Linked DNA regions of Notamacropus eugenii. Each later gene encodes a partner of the first gene's protein in a complex. Links are inferred from orthologs where the notes say so. Each region holds a gene or a part of one and is shown in the gene's direction. Other genes may lie near its edges.

Region 1 (8,889 bases):
TACTACAAAGCAAAACTTCGGTACTGATTAAAACAATAGAGGCGTTGATCAGTGCGAACAGATTAAATACACACTGTACAGAAGCAAATTAACGTAGTATAATTTTTGATAAGTCCAAAGTCCCCAGCTACCAGTGTAAGGACTCATGTCATTCCAACAAAAATCCTGGGAAAATTGGAAAGCAGGATGGTAGAGATTAGATAAGGAGCCACATCTCCCACCATATACCAAGATAGGCTCCCACTGGACTTGTGTCTTAAGATATAAAAGATCATAAGCTAGAGGAATGCAAAATGAAATGAGCAGGCAAGTGCCTGGGATGACATGTGGATAAGGCCAGGGGACTTCCTTCTGGGAGTCATAGTGGTGCCTGATGTGAGTGGCTTAGAGAGCCCTGAGCATATGTAGACTCCTAACTTGCCAGTCTACTAACCATCTGGTTAGGCAGACATGACCCCATGAACACAGGCTTCCGTCCTTGTCATCACTGGTTCTTTTTTCCTTTTTAGGTGAGGGTTGAAGTCTCCAATCTCATGAGTAAAAGATCAGTACAGCATCGATGCCCCATGGAGCAATAAGTGACCTTCAGAATCCAGCCCATGGTGGTCAAGATGAGGACTCCTATAACTCATGTCTCTTCTAAATATGAACTTGGTGGGACCAATAGTATATTAAAAAGTTATGCTAAGAGTGTCATGCCCACTGCCCTCAGTGAACTGAGATTGGGATCTGGGAGATTGTTTCTCTAGTGTGGTGGGAAAATGTTTATACTTCTATTCTTGCTATATCTTTGAAGTAAATATCCTTTTATAAAAATTAATTGATGTTAAGTGTTAAAGGGAACTGGTACACTACTTGCTATTGGCTAAGGGGTGTGGGGAACATAACCAATGAGGACTTGACCAAGTGACATTAGAGAAAAAAAATAACTAAAAGACCTCAGGATATCCCCTAGAATCCCAAGGGTGAGCTGCACCTGGCCTGCCTCTGGGAGAATGAACCTGAGCTTGTCAATACAGAATAAATGAGTTTTTACAACTATACGTAGGGATCAAACAAGGAATTGGGAGGAGCCCAATAACCGAAGATCAGACGGACAATTTTCATTATATGGAATAAAACATTTTTTTCATAAGCAAATCCAGTGCAGTTAAAACTAGAAGGGAAACAGTTAATTGGGGAAAAATAATCTTTGCAGTACTTTTTTTGAGAAAAAATTCTCATATCAGCTCTTATCAGTGCAGTGGCAATCCATGATTCCAAAAGACCAAAGATGGAGCATGCTGCCTACCTCCTGACAGAGGACTCAAGATGCAGATTAAGATGTGGTCAGTGTGTAGGAAATTGCTTTCTTTGACTGTGTATTTATTATAAGGGTCTTCTCAAGGTTGGGTCTAGAAGTAATTCTCTAGAAAGAGAACAAATGCTATTTAATTGCATGTAATTGGGGAGAAAAGATTGGATGTGAAAGATGTGAAAGTAGAAATTGCAATCTGAGGAAGGATTAGGACTCAAATGTTTTTGACTTAAAGCCAGGCTCAGTACAACACCCTGACGACCGTAATTTGAAGAGATCATGAACATACCCTATAATCCAGGAGTCTCCTACCAGTGACTCTGGGCTTACATGTGTGTTCAGTTCTGGGGTCCTAATGCCAATATTTTTGACTCCACTCCTCAACCCCAGAATAACTCCAGAGAAATCTCTAAAACAAAATTTAGTTCTGGGTCATATCTTGTTCAGTCATTTCAGTCTTGTCCAGCTCTTCCTGACTTCATTTGGAGTTTTCTTAGCAAAGAATGGTTTGCCATTTCTTTCAGTTATGTGATTTGCCCAGGGTCACTCAGCTAGTAAGTGCTTTGGGCCAGATTTGGACTCATCAGCCTGACTCTAGAACTGGCACTCTATCTGTTTCATCACCTCCTGCCCCCAGGTCATATGTAGAATCTCCTCAAAGAAATAGTATTTGGATAGCCTTGTAAGGTTTGCATATTATAAAGCATATAGTGCTTTACATATTATTTGATCCTCACAGCAAACCTAGGAAGGTAAGCGTTGTTATTATTCTTGTTTTTACAGAGGAGGAAACTGAGGTGAAGTGATTTACCCATGGTCACTGGGTGACTAAGTGCCTAAGGCCAGATTCAAAATTAGGTCTTCCTGACTCCTTAGTGTCACCATTTTCTCTGCTGTGCCACCTAGAGGTTACTCTAGAAAAGGTACACACTGTTCAGTACGAACCTTGGGAATAGGACAACTGTTTTATTTCCTGCATCATGCAAAAAACTCATAGATATGCACTGACAAATACAGAAAAGATAAGAATACTTCAAATAGTCCATTACACTTACTATACTTTTTGGAAGACAAAATCCCTTTGTGCAGCTGTGGTGGAATAGATACTTTGCATTGATCTCAATACAAATCTTCAATTTGAAAAGGCTACAAGCCAAGACCAAAGTGGAGGGAGTGTGGAGTGTTGGTGCATGAATTTCTGTTTGCAGATGATTGTGCGCTCGATGCAGCCTCTGAAGCTTGAAGTGCCAAACGTTCAAACTATGCTTCAGAGAGTGCAGCTGTGATGGGCTGGCCATGTTATTCGAATGCAAAATGTACACTTGCCAAAAAGACCATTTTATGGAGAACTAACATGGGGCAGGTGATCACATGGTAATCAGGAGAAGCGATACAAGGACACGCTCAAGGTATCTCTCAAGAACTTATTTGACTGCGACATGGGAGACACTGGCACAGAACCACTCAGCATGGTGTGCTCACATCAGAAAGGGTGCTGTGCTCTGTGAGCAAAGCAGAATGGAGACAGCACAAAGTAAACGTAGGATGTGCAAATTTGGAGTATCCACCCCAAATATTTACACGGACTATCTGTGCCCAACCTGTGGTAGAGCATTCCCAGCTCATATTGGTCTGATCAGCTGCAGTCGGACACACTGAAACTTCACTTTATCATGGTGATGTCATTTTGGTCCTCTTCAAGAATGAAGGACAACCACAAACAGTGACCTGGCAGTAGGGTCATCGCTTGGTAGTTATTCAGGCACTCTTTAATTCAGGATATTCTTGCCCATACTGGGAAATTAATTTTTAAAAGTTACTTTTTTTTAGATTTTTTTTTTGTTCTGATTTTAACAAACACAAATAAAATGAGCATATCTATTGGAGCAGAGGAAGAGATTGTACCCTCAATGATACATCTCCATTCTGTCCTCAATCCTTTTTGTTGAGATAACTGTAAAAATTTGACATTTAATTTTTTTTTTTGAAATTTAACTTTTAAAGTTGTCATGCTTAGCTTTGTTTCCTTGTGTTCTCTTCTGTGTATTTAAAAAAATATTTAATTGACTTTTTTCTTTTGTAAGTCTGTCCCTATCTCCCTATCTTCAGTCTTCCTTCATCCCCAACTGAAAAAAAAAAAAGAAAACCTTTGTAACAAATATACAGTCAAGCAAAGCAAATTCCTACATTAGTCATATCCAAATTTTTTCTTTTCTTTTTTTTTTTTTAGCCAATCAAAAGAAACTGTAGATCACCATAAACTCCTCAACCTCCACTTAAGGAGAGGGGAACAGAACAGACATCTCCTCAGACATCACCTCATTTCCCACCCAGCTGTACTCATTTTTGGATGATTTCTGCATTATTTTGCAAAATTTAATAAAACTTGGCCCTTAAAACTCATTAGTACCTGCAGCTTCCTCTTATTGGCCAAAGGAGCTATGAACTCCTCATGCAGCATTTAAGGAGGTGGAGTAGGTTAGATTTATTTTCCACCTAGCTGCACTCATTTTGGCTTCTCTGGCTATACTCATTTAGGAATTTGTTTTTAACTGCTCCATTATTCCTCATGCCAGGTGACCTCTCTTCCCTCCCTTCACCCTATTTTCCAGCTTCCTTTTGTGTTTTGTCTTCCCACATCAGCTTGTAATCTCCTTGAAGGCAGGGACTGTTAAAAATATTCATTAACCCTGGGTATTATCTCTAGAAAAAACTCTGGGCTTCCCCCTCCAAGAGATGTAGTAGTTAAATTGAACAGTTTCGGTAGCAAAACTCAAAGGGGGCCCCCCTCAAAGCAACCTTCCATAGTTGCTGGTTTTGTTTATTCCCATGACCTAGGTATTTAGACTATGTTCTAATCATTCACCCATTGCTCCTTGGAAATGTAACTCAAGATCTTTACTGCATTCGGGAGAAATCTCAGGATGCAGATACTATAAAGCATAACAAGTCCCAGGTACATAGTTTACTTGCAGAATCCATCTTGGTTCAGTCCTAAATCTGGTGCCATCTTGCTTTATCCCTAGGTCATGGAGGATAGCTCCGTCCCTTTACCATAGAGGAAACAAGTTTCTAGGTAGTTCCTCTGGCATTGTGTACTCTCCTTAACTCCTGCTCTTGATTAACCCCAAAGTCCCCTCCTTTCTTACCCACAATTCTTTCCCTCATCTTTGCTTTCAGCTTAATAGGAACCAACTATTATAATCCCTGTTTTTCTATTTCTCCCTTGCCCATCCAATGTAAAGCTGTAGCTACCTTCCCACAACACAGAGCTTATCTATGGACCCATGTAGCTTGACAGTTGAGGACAACATCATTTTAGTCACAGAGGTTGTGCTGCATGGTGTAGACAAGCACTGGATTTGGAGTCAGGTGACCTGTTTGATTCATGGATCTTCTATTTACTTGTAAGTAACTTCCTTTGGCCTCAGGTTCATCATTGTTAAATGAAGGGTCCTAGTTAAATGGGACCTAGTTAAGGTCTCTTTCAACTCTATAAATCCCATTTTAGGGTAAAACTGAATCACTTTGCCAGATTCTGAGCCCCTGTTCAATTGAACTCTCAGCCTCAGGTATTCCATTAATTAGTTTTTCCACCAGGAAAAATCAGTTTCTTGGGTCTTCAATTTTATCATCTGTAAATTAGAGGCATGGATTGTATAGCAATTTATATTTTTCAAAATACTTCTGCTTATATTATCTTAGTCATTTCCTCAAAACAGAGGAGATAGTAGGCTAATAGCCTGGCTTGAGAGCAAAGGAAATTGAAAACTCAAGAAGTCATATGACTTGTGCAGTTTCCCAGCTAGTAAGTAGTTGAATTAGTAAGTAGAAATAGATCCCAGGGCTCAGCCCTCATTTCTGATTCCTTCTGTCTTTTGGGTTCAATTTTTGATTCCCAAGGCCCTTGGCTAGAATTATTGTGTTATGGCTCTTAGATACGCTTGGTGGCAGTGTTGCTCAGTCCAGCTCACCCCACCCCTGCCCAGCTTAGTTTAGCCCAACTTCCTGGAAAATTGCCGCTAGTTACCAAAGGGTCCTTCCCCTTGGGGCTCCTCCCCTTGGTGCCGGCCACTTTCTGACTCATACTGGGCTGAAAATTAGCCTAGCAGACATCCTGTTGACTAGTGGGAATCTGGACCAGAACACAGTTCAATGCCTTGCTGTTAACAAAGGGGACACCCTTTTTGGGTTTCTCCCCTACAAGGAGGAACATTAGCTCAGGAGTGGCTTGGTTGCTTCTCCTGGGAGGAGAGAACAGATCTGAGGTCCCAGCAAGCTGTTGGCTGTGGAGAGGAAAGAGACTTAATCACAGCAGATTGTAAACTGTTGGAAGCAGGGAAAATGGCCTTGCAGCCACCTCTGCTGCCACCCCTACCTGCTCTCCAGAGCCCCAGGACTTCCCAGTATATCTATCAGCTTCCTTCTTGGGTGCTGGAGGACTTATGCCACAAGATGGACAGCCTGAATGAATGGGACTGGATGCAGTTTGGTGAGAGCAGTGTCAAGGGGGCTGGGGGTCCCTGGGAAGACTGAATGCTTAGGAAGTTGGGAGCCCCCCGCAATGACTGCCTGACAGGGTACTGTGGACTTCTAGGGGACTTAGATGATGGGGTCATCCAAGAGCACATAACCTATCTCCCTCAGGGAGAACAGGATTTAGAGTTTGGAAGAGATCTTATTGATAGTCTGGTCTGACCCTTTCATTTTACAGAGAAGAAAATGGAAGCCTTCATAGAGGGGGAAAAGGAGGAGTCTGAGGCCAAGATAGGGAACTTTTCCCAAGGTTGTACAGATAGTCCATAGCAGAACTGTGATTTCAACTCAGGTGTTCTGGCTTCGTGACTCAGAACACTGGCCACTGCCCTATATAAGCTCTTTTGTTCTTGTTTAAGTATCATTCTACCTTTTGCTTTTGAGCTATATTTTTAGCTTGTTCCACATAACACAGTGTAATGGACAAAACTTCAGAATGGTAAGTGAGTTCGGGTCCTTATCTTTTGCTCCTCTATGAGGTTAGATTAGATGGTTTTTTGTATCTCTTTCATCTCTAAGATTCTGTGATTTATTAAGCTATCTAATGATGAATGTAACCATGGAGGCAAAGAGCTGTATTGAAGAGCTGACCTAGAGTCAGGAGAATCTAGGTACAAGTCTCACTGGCCATACATGCTGGCTTGCCACTTAGCCTAGGCACCTCTGCACCATGGTGGAGGAGTACTGGATCTGAACCCAAGAAGATCTGAATTCGAAGCCTATTTTAGATGCTTCCTACCTCGCTGTATGACTTGCACAAGTCACGTAACTTTTTGTCAGTTTGCCTATCTCTAAAATGGGGATGAAAATATCATCAACCTTATGGGTCTCGTGTGAGGCTCCAGTGAGATGTTATAGGTAAGGGCTTTACAAGCCTTACAAGTTTAGCTGATATTTATTACTGTTAGTTTCTCACAAACTCTAAGTTGAAGGGAAGGTACCAACCCCCTTTTGGTAGTGGTAATTTCCTCCTCTGGACATTCCCTGTTTTGTAAGATCACAGGTCTAGCGATTTTCTAGAATCTAGAAAAAGATGTGTTGTGTGGTAATAGTCTTCTGGGATTAGTTACTAGTCATGTTTCTTGGTGCTAGGTGCTGAAAATTGGTTACTCGGTAGGTCAGACTGTGCTTTGTAATTGTGATGGTGATCAGAAGGAAAAGGAATGATGGTATACAAAATACCGCTTCTCTTGTCCATGGGGAAAGCATTGTAAATGTGCCCTTCTCTGTGCTGTCTTCCCAAGGATACTGGGAAATGAATCACAGCCTCACAGGAAGAGAAACCATTTTATGACCTTGATACCTTCCTTTCAAAAAAATACCCAAGAAATACCCTTCCTTTCTGCCATATATTACATGGAGTTTTGGAGTACAGATGTAAATGAGATTATCCAGAGTATTGAGGATATCAGTTTATAATCAGGACAACTAGGTGGCACAGTGGATAGATAGTGCTGGGCCTGGAGTCAGGAAGACTTATCTTGAGTTCAAATCTTGTCTCAGGCACGTATGAGCTGTGTAATCCCGGGCAAGTCACTTAACCCTGTTTGCCTCAGTTTCCTCATCAGTAAAATGAGACAGAGAAGAAAATGGCAGGCTACTCTAGTATCGTTGCCAAGAAAACCCCAAGTGAAGTCACAGTTAAAAGAAGTGAACACCAACAACAAAGAAGTTAGATAAGAGATGGAACACCTACTTTAGAAGGGTTGTTTTATACTAGACTGGGTTACTGTAAAAGGCTATGAAATCTCCCTGGCTTGAAGGGGAGGGCCAGGACGGATCTTTAAAGCGGGCATTTTGTACTCTCTCCTTGCTCATAGGTTTGGATGCTTGTCTATGTCATTGGAAGTGAAAAGAGTTTATCAGTTAAAGAGGCAAGCATCTCTTGGGGTCTAGGCTGTTTTTGGTGAATTGCTGAAAGGGCATTGAGTTTAGTCTGAGTTAGGATGGAATCCACTCTTAATTTACTAACCAGGAATTTTGTACATAGTCAATAAACCTTTGGCCTCCTTGGATCATAGATTCCAAGTGAGAGATGACCATAGAGACCATCTGGCCCAACCCCCTTCATTTTGCAGACTAGGAAACAGAGGTCTGAAGAGGTTTGATGACCTCACGCAAGTGTATATGAGAGGTGGAGTAGAGGTATCTTTTCTCATCTGTGTCTGCTACATAAAAGATATTTAATATATTCTTGTTGATTGTCCAATGAGGAATTTGGATTAGATGACTTGTAAGGTTTCTTCCAGTCCTAAATCATCCTATGAGTTTATAAGCATCCTATTTTAACCTCCCGGTCAGTGTGGATCCCTTTCTACAGTGGCCCTGACTGGGCCCCACTCAGCCTCAGTGTCAGGGGAGGCAAGGAGGCAGAAGGGATGGATTCTCAGGGACTTCCAGGTCTCAGTCTATGATTTGTAGACTTTATGGAGGGGAAATCAATTTCCCTTGCTGATGACTGTGAATAGGCACTTTACATTTATAGCCAAGAAAGAGAGACATTCAGTGACACTTTGTCTTGTACTGACAGGTTAGTTTCCTAAGCCACAGGCTGGGGCTGAGGGAAACCTCCTTGTCACCCCCCAAAGACATTTATTGAGAGCTTCCTACGTGTCCTTATGAATCTCCAGTCACTGTGCTAAGTGCTGGGGATACAATGAACGGTAAAAGCAACTTGATCCTTCCCTCAAAGAGCTCATCATCATCATCACCCTCCTATTCCTAGCCTCCCTTGAGATTTCTCTCATTCTCAAGAAATAAAGTACTTCCTTTGGGTGACTTAGAGACTTCTCCCACCCCAGCCTTGTAATCTAAAGGGCCCTCAGAAATCCTGGAGTAAACCCTCTGCTTTTCAGAGAACTGTACTAGAGACTCAAACAGGCAGAGTATGATGTTCAAGGTCCCCTCATGATTAATAGAGTCAATCCTAACCCCCTTATTTCCAGTATCTTGTGGCTGGAGTCTTTCCTTAATGCCTCACTTCCTCAATAACTTAGGGAGGGAGGCAGGTTAAAAGGAATCCAGGGACTTTGGGTATGGGGAAGGCAGTCCAGGAC
Region 2 (8,439 bases), about 220 Mb from region 1:
TGTCTCCACACTATTACTAAGAATTAAAGGACCCTAACTTATTGTTGTTGGTCTAAAGTCCTAAGACTAATAGCTTAATTTTAGACTTGACCTCGGATGTTTCCCTACCAACAATCTATAATTTAATAGATCTGGTATTAAGCTTACAAACCTTCTGACCATAGGAAATTGCCACTAAGAGTAGGGACGTTGCAGGGAAACAATATCTCCCCAACTTGCAATTTTTATTTTCTATACCTTTTGTTTTGATTCTTCTTTCACAGCATGACTAATGTGGAAATATGTTTAATACGATTGTACATGTATAGCCTTATATGAGATTACATGCTGTCTTGGGGAGAAGGGAAGGGACACAAATAAGGGGGGGAAATTTAGAAGTCAAAATCTTATAAAAATGAATGTTGAAAACTAAAAATAAATAATTTTTTTTTTTTAAAAAAAAGAAAAGTGTAGTCAGCAATGCCTCTGAATCTCTTGAACTAATAAGGTTGACTGGACACTTCCATCTCAAGATAGATGTTTGGTCACTTAGGGTCAGGTAAAGAAACACAAAACAAGAGGCCCAGGTTTAAGTTCACTAAAGTTCAGTGTCTCTGTTCTACCTGTTCTCTGGAAGTGGTTCACTTGCTGCCATTTTTCATTCCATCCCACAGCTTCCCTTATGGGGACTCTCAGAGTCACTTGGAGGGAAGGAAGTGTGGGTGGGAGGAGAGATTGTCACTTCCTTTTTAAAGGTCTCGTCAGTTATTGGCTCTTCCTTTTCATTGGCTTGATGTAGATATTACTTGACATCCCCACGGTACCAAAGAAGTTGGGAAGTTGTGAGTTCCACAGCATCTGATTGCTAAGTTCATACACATGTGCACCCTGCCCCCCCCCCCCCCCCACTCAACTGGAAACAGGTAAATACTCTGTGCAATTTCCCAATTATACTACTCTTGGTGCCAGAATATGGTTACACACCATTTGCTATTTGTTCCTCTAGCTTTGTGTCAAGCTAATCACTATGTGGTATGCTGCCTTGTCTATTTCTTAGAATTGTGTGAGCAGTTTTATTACAATAGCTGGGTGCTAACTCAAAGAGTTATATTTCCACAACCCAAATATCCAGCATTTCAGGGTTCCTGACAAACCTTCGTAACTATTTTAGCAATTTTAATGTATTAAGAGTTCCCACTGTACATCACTCTATGATACTTTCCAGTTGCCCCTTCCTTTCTCTCCCTCATCCCTCAGTCTAAAATATCAAATGAACTGGGTTTTGAAGGGGCTGTTGTTATTTTTTTATTGCTGTTGGGGACTCCCATTTTTCTATCACTGCAGATCAGCAACTTAGTTGGCACTAAAGGGTTAAGTGACTTATCTGTGAGAAGGGGGAGGACAAGGGAAGGAAACAAGCATTTATATCCCATACACCCAGCCCCACCTTCCTTCTCCCCCTACACTCACTCACACACATGCATATAATTCCCATTATGGATTTGTTTCATTTTAAATGTTCACATTAATTTTCAAAATTCTTTTTTGTTTAGAATGTGGATTTTCCTTTTGCAGTGTGGTATAGTGGATAAGACACTGAACATGGAGTCAGGAAAATAGTTTTCAAATACCAACTCATACACTTATATATGACCATGAGCAAATCACTTTACTTCACTGGGATTCAGTTTCTGCATTAGTAAGACGAGTGGGTTGGGACTCCATTCCACCTAAGGTACCTTTCAACTCTTAAGTCCATGATCTTGTAATTTTAATTTACTAGCCTTTAGTTTAAATTATTATCAACTTTAGATAGATTAGCTTGGTTTTACTACTACCTTATCAGTTTCTTTCTCACCATAACACCTGCTGTTTGCAAGAATAAACCCCCAAATCTGAAATATTTGTAGGTCTTTATGTAGAGAAAGAGTCAGAAATATGTGGCTCCCTCCATGAGTCGTTGTGAAGTTACATTATATAGAATTCAAATAAAGATGTAAGGTTATTTGTCTGAATGAGAAAGTTTGGAACTCAAAATCTTATGGAGTGTCTGTTGAAAACTAAAAATAAATCATGTTTTTAAAAAAGGATAAAAAAATTGTTGACACTTCTGGCTGACAGCATTTTGGAGAGAGAGACAGGAAGAGAGAGAGAGAGAGAAAGAGAGAGAGAGAGAGAGGGAGAGAGAGAGGGAGGGAGAGAGAGAGAAAGAGAGGGAGGGAGAGAGAGAGAGAGAGAGAGAGAGAGAGAGAATGTTGTAAGGGCCTGGTTTGTTCATTCATTTTGATAGGGATTGGAATTATGACCTTCTAAACTTTGGGAGATCAGGACAGCAAGTCACCATCAGCAAATCCCTGGAAGATCTGATCTCTCCTGGAGGAGAAGATGTATTAGAATTTACAGCCAGGAAGTCCAGGCATCTAAGGAGAGGGTGAGAACTGACCTTCTGGGTCCAGCAAAATAATAACTGAGAGAAAGATTCATTCGGCAGGAATGCCACATTGGGATGTGAACTTGATGGCAGCAGTGCTTTACAGAATATCTATAAATCCAAGTCTACTTTCCCCAAGGACCAAAGTGTAATATGGCTAGTGTATCCCCACCCTCCACCTTGTAGAGGCAATACTTTTCTTTTGTTCTTGATAAATTTTTGAATTATCTCTGTAAGAGGTAATCAATATTAACTGTTTAAATAAAACTGGAAAGCTAGTTATTAGTAGCTGTGGGGGGAATGCCCTGGAATAGGGCTTTGAGCATTTGAGAAGAGACATCCCAGCTCCTTAGAGGTAACCCTAGAAGCATAGGAAACAAGAGAAGGGAGAACAGTGACCCCATTGTTCCCAGTCCTGCTTGTCAATCAGTATTAAGGGAGGCTCTGTAGACACACATAACCCAGTCTGCAGGTTTTGTATTACCTGTCCCTCAAGTACCAGATCATTCCATTAGCCCTAACATACAACCACTTGGGAAGGAGCTGAGATGCAGTAGCCCATCCATTTTTGCTGATGTGGGCCTAACTGAATTGTTTTTCTCTCATTACAAAAGTTATCAATAAAAGCTGACTCCATCTTGAATCCCTTGCTCATCTCTAGTGATCAGCCTATCAACATGTTGCTACCTTGATGTATTTTTTAATAAACTTCTTTTAATTCTCTTTTTCCTGTTTTGTTTCATTAATCAAAGCAAAAGTCAAAATAAAGAATTTTCCTTTTAACAAAATGTACCTGACCCTGCTCTGGAAGGATGCAAGAGGACTTGCTGCAACAGAAAAAAAAATAGGCTACATTTCCATTATAACCAAATGTTTACTTTTATGCTAACCTAATTAGTTAATGAAGCCAATCAAAGAGATTAAAAATAAAAAATCCTTAAGTTCTACATGTACAATTGTTCTGATATTTGTCAGGACATTGTATCCCCAAAAATAATGAACCAAGTTCCTAATACATATTTACCTGTATATTTTCCTCTGTCAAATAAATATCCTCCTTTAATTTCAAAAGGAAATTTTTTGGGAATAATTTCCCTGGCTGACTGAATTGTTTTGTAGGAGTAGCAGAGAGCCCTTGAGAAACTGAAGAAGGTATTTTGTTTTCTGAATATAAAAGAAAAGTCCTCCAGCCCTACTTTAAATGTTCTTATCAAGTCTTCAAAGGTTATATTATTGGGGAAATTATTATTCAGATGAAAGTTCCTGGAGTCCTTACATTCACATGACAACAGCTGTGGCAATTTTCTTGCAAAATTTTCTGTTCCTCTTTGCATTTTATTAGCAAAGTAACTGCTAAAAGGGGGAAATTATAACGAATGAATAATCGTGCTAGATGTTTACATCTATAATTTGAATCATTTCTGTAGTAGTGGCAGTTAAACATTAGATACCAAAGAGTGCAGTTCTTTCCACAAACTGCCTATGAATGAACAAATGTAGGCAACTATGAGCATTCATTCACCAAATATTTAACATCTGTGCAAGGTACTATAAAAAACACAATGTTGCACAAGACATGGTCTCTGTCCTCGAGAAACTTAAAGTCTAGTAGTGAAGATATAACTCTTAAATGTAAATACACTAAGAATGATACAAATAGAGTGCTAAAGGAGTTCAAAGCAAATCACAATTCCAGAAGACCAAAGCTGGTGTTTTTTTTTATGCTAACCACCTCTTGTTAGAGGGGTGATAGATTTAAAATGTAGAATGAGACATACATTTTTGTACATGGGCAATTTGACAATTTGTTCGTTTGATTTTATAAATTTTATTGTTTGACAGATGAGTGGTAGAGAGAATAAATGACTATTCATGGTAAAAATAATAATAATAAAGGAGTCCAAAGAGGTTATCATGGAGCTCAAGAACCATGAAAAAATATATTAGTACAATATTAAACAGGAGACAAAAAGATCTTCACTAAGCACTGAAGACACACAGGGTTAGCAAAAGAAGAAAAGGAACGTAGAATAGTTGGTGAGAGCTGGAGATTGACATGGCAGGGTCAAGTGAGCAACCATAGCGTTAAAAAAAAAACACAACTCTGGGCTTGGACCAGAAGATCAGAGTCTGAGTCCTGGCTTCCACAGTTACGAGTCATATAACCACTGACAATTTACTTGAACACTTCTGAGCCTCAGTTTCCTAGTGCGTCAAAGGAGGGATAACATTTGCCCTAAAGATGTTGCCGAGTTGTTTTTGGGAGAGACGTTTGTTAACCTAACTGGTCTATATAAATGTGTTAGTTTATCGTAGATACAATGTAACCTAGACTCTAGCAGGAACTACTGCTAGTTAGGTCTACCAAACAAGGATAAATCTGTAAAGCAGATATTTAGCTATTTTTATTCATTTAATATATTACATTATTTAATTTTACTTATATACAAATATATGTAATATGTAATATATATGATGTATATAAATATATTTACATATTTAATAGCGAATATTAAAATGTCTCTCGGGCACGACCCTTTCACCTCATATTCAGGGTCTAACTTCCAACTCCCCCTTGTTTCTAAACCTTTCTCTCCAACCCGCTCAAGCCTGTTAGTGTTTTTCTTCCTTATTTTTGGGCTTAAGGTTCTTCTCTGAGCCCTGAAATTCGGATCAAAGAGGCCCTTAAACCGTCCTCCTGGGCCCCGCTCTTCTCGCTACACCCACGCCAGACGAAGAAGGAGGCAGCCTGGACAGCAAACAGTTCAGCCCCTGGACAGAACCAAAGGGACGCCCTGACTTTCCGGTTCTGGGGTCTCCTCAGCGCGCATGCCTAGGTGGCCGCAGAGGAAGGAGGCTTACAAGTCCAGGAAATCTTCGCCAATTGCCGTGAGTTTAAAGGCTCCTCCCCCTCGAGGGCGGGGCCAGCTTGCCCCAGAGGTAAAGTTTCAGCTTTCCTGGAGCCAATGCGGAAGGGAAGAGAGGGCTTCCCAGGCCAGGATGCGGCTCGTGTCTCCCGGTGTCTGGCTCTCCTGGCCCGTGCTGGCGCCTGCACAGACAGAACTCAGGTAACGCTGAGCCCTGCTGCTGCCGCGGGCTCATGTTCTCCGCTCAGAATGGTGACTTGTCCGCCTGGCAGAATGAGGCACCGCCCCCGTGCCCTCCCCAGGTTTTCCCATTAGCTTTTAGGAGGGCTTTCAGGCGGACTTGGACGGTTTTCCAAGCCCATTTCCTGCTCCTGGAACCTACCCTTACTTAATCCGAGCCTGAAGAACTCATTCCTGGCCAAATGAGTGAGCCCTGTGCTCTTTTATGGGAACTTGCGTTCCTGATAGTGGGGATTTGGGCCCGCGAAGCAAATGGCAAGTTAGGCAGGAGCCTTTTCACTTCCGGGTCACTTATTGGGCTGACGCTTTAAGTAACAGGTGACCTAGGCTGTCATCTAGACTAGGGGTGGAGAACCTGCTGCCTCGAGGCCACATATGGCCCTCTAGGTGCTCAGGTGCTGCCCTTTAATAGAATCCAAACTTCACATAACAAATACCCTTAATGTAACTACATTTTACATAAATATAGTTATATATTATAATTGTATGGGATACAATAATGTAACACACATATGTATGTATATATGTATGTATGTGTGTGTATCTATCTATCTATATATATATAGTCAAATCCTTAATGATTTGTTCTGTAAAACTGGGACTCAGTCAAAAGGCTGCACCCAAGGACACATGTGGCCTTGAGGCCACAGGTTCCTCACCAGTCTTATTGTTTTGTTGAGGATAGGTAAATAATTCATAGTTCTTCATTGTAAAATATTGTTACTGTGTACAATATTCTTCCTGGTTCTGCTCGCTTCACTCTGTATCAGTTCATGTAAATCTTTCTAGGCTTTTTTGAAATTATCCTGCTAAAGATTTCTTTTTATTTAAAGCAGGATAGTATTCTCTCACAATCATATTCCACCACTTGTTCTGCCATTCCCCAGTTGATGGGCATCCCCTCAATTTGCAATTCGTAGCCACCACAAAAAGAGCTGCTATATTTTTGTACAAATAAGTTCCTTTCTCTCCCCACTTTTAAAATCGACCTAGCAGAAACATTGTTGGATCAAAGGGTTGCACAGTTTTATAGCCCTTTGGGCATAGTTCCAAATTGCTCTCCAGAATGTTTGAATCAGTTCACAACTGCAGGAGCAGTGCATTATTGTCCCAGTTTTCCTACATTCCCTCCAGCACTTATCATCTTTCTTTTTGTCATATTAGCCAATCTGATAGGTATGAGGTGGTTATCTCAGATCTGTTTTAATTTACATTTCTTTAATCAAATAGTGATTTAGAGTGTTTTTTATATGATTATGTAGATAGCTTTGATTTTTTTGTATGTAAACTGCCTTTCATACCCCTTGACCATTTATCAATTGGAGATTGATTCATCTTTTCATAAATTTCACTCAGTTTTCTATATATTTGAGAAATAAGATCTTTATCAGAGATACTGTAAAATTTCTTTTTTTTCAGTTTTCTGCTTTCGAATTTTTGTTGCATTGCTTTTGTTAGTGCAAAAACTTTTTAATTTTATGTAAACAAAATTATCCATTTTACATTTTGTAATACTCAATTTGTCTCCTTTGGTCCTAAATTCTTTCCTTATCCATAGATCTGATAGGTAAACTATTCCATGCTTTCCTAATTTGCTTATGGTATCACTCTTTATGTGTAAATCATATACCCATTTTGACCTTATCTTACTGTATGGTGTGAGATGTTAGTCTGTACCTGGTTTGTGCCATACTGTTTTCCACTTTTCCTGTTTTTCTTCCAATTCTGTGAATTGTTGTTGCAAGAAAAGACCACTTTTTTTTTACAGTTTTCTTTTGTTTTTTTTTTAATTTTAAAATTTTTATTATTTTATTTGTTTTCATTTTTCTATAATCACTTCCATATATCTTAGATTTTTACCCTTCGCTCCCCTTCCTTTCCCTGTCCCTCCCAACTCCCTCCCCAGAACAGCATGCTATCTTACATAGGTTCTACACTTACATTCCCATTAAATACATTTTCACCTTAGTCATGTTGCATAAAAGAATTAAAATGAATGGGAGAAATCATATAATGAACCAAAACGTAATACAAAAGTAAATGATCTGCTACAATCTGTGATTGAGTTCCATAGTTCTTTCTCAAGATGTGGAAGGCTTTTTGCCTTAAAAGACCATTGGGAATGCTATACCACTTGTAGTATATATGTTTGGTAATGAAATTGCTTTGTTGTCTATGGTGCCTTTTGGCAGGATATAGTTTCCTTCCTTGTCTCTTTTGATTAGGTCTATTTCTGCTTTTGCTTTGTCTGAGATTAGGATTGCTACCCCTGCTTTTTTTTTTTATATCAGCTGAAGCACAATATATTCTGTTCCAACCTTTTACTTTTTTCCTGTGCGTATGCCCCTCTTTCAAATGTGTTTCTTGTAAACAACATATTGTTGGATTATAGTTTTTAATCCATTCTGCTATCCTTCTCTGTTTTATGGGAGAGTTCATCCCATTCACATTCACAGTTATGATTACTATCTCTGTCTTTCCCTCCATTCACTTTTCCCCTGTTTATGCTTTTAGTTCTTCCTTCCCTTCCACAATAGTTTTAATTTTTGACCACAGCCTCCCTCAGTCTTCCTTCCCTGCTTTCAACCCCCCTCCATTTTAGCCCCCTTTCTCTCACAACTTCTTCCCTCCCTTTTAGCCTCCTCTCCCTTTTCTTTTCTCCTTCCCCTCCTACTGCCTTTAGAGCTAGTTGTATATCTGTACTTACCTGAGTTTGTTGTTCCCTCCTTGAACCCAATCACATGAGAGCAACTCTCAAACAATGCTTATCTCCCTCCCTTCTTTCCCTCTACTGTAATGTATTTTTGTGCCTCTTCCTGTGATGTAATTTACCTTTTTCTGACTCCTCCTTTTCACATCTCCTGTTGCAATCCCTTTGCATGCTTAAATCATGACATCATTTACTTTATACCGCTCCCTCTA

What was found.
Region 2: the proteins of IRAK2 (region 1) and IRAK4 are in contact, whole or in part, in a crystal structure (PDB 3MOP), measured with the Homo sapiens proteins. The link is inferred for Notamacropus eugenii from reciprocal best matches to the Homo sapiens genes IRAK2 and IRAK4. Residues at the interface, in NP_001561.3 of Homo sapiens: Tyr6, Ile36, Lys44, Met48, Glu59, Trp62, Trp63, Trp64, Gly65, Met66, Arg67, Gln68, Ala69, Gln73; in NP_001107654.1 of Homo sapiens: Asp24, Phe25, Pro28, Gln29, Lys34, Glu92, Phe93, Phe94, Ala95, Pro96, Ser98, Val105.

The regions. Positions count from the first base shown.
Region 1 is NC_092874.1:435,352,190-435,361,078, reverse strand, and holds the start of IRAK2 (interleukin-1 receptor-associated kinase-like 2), read left to right. Parts: upstream 1-5,537; 5' UTR 5,538-5,641; coding exon 5,642-5,789; intron 5,790-8,889. UniProt on the Homo sapiens protein: Binds to the IL-1 type I receptor following IL-1 engagement, triggering intracellular signaling cascades leading to transcriptional up-regulation and mRNA stabilization.
Region 2 is NC_092874.1:212,024,852-212,033,290, reverse strand, and holds the start of IRAK4 (interleukin-1 receptor-associated kinase 4), read left to right. Parts: upstream 1-5,222; 5' UTR 5,223-5,478; intron 5,479-8,439.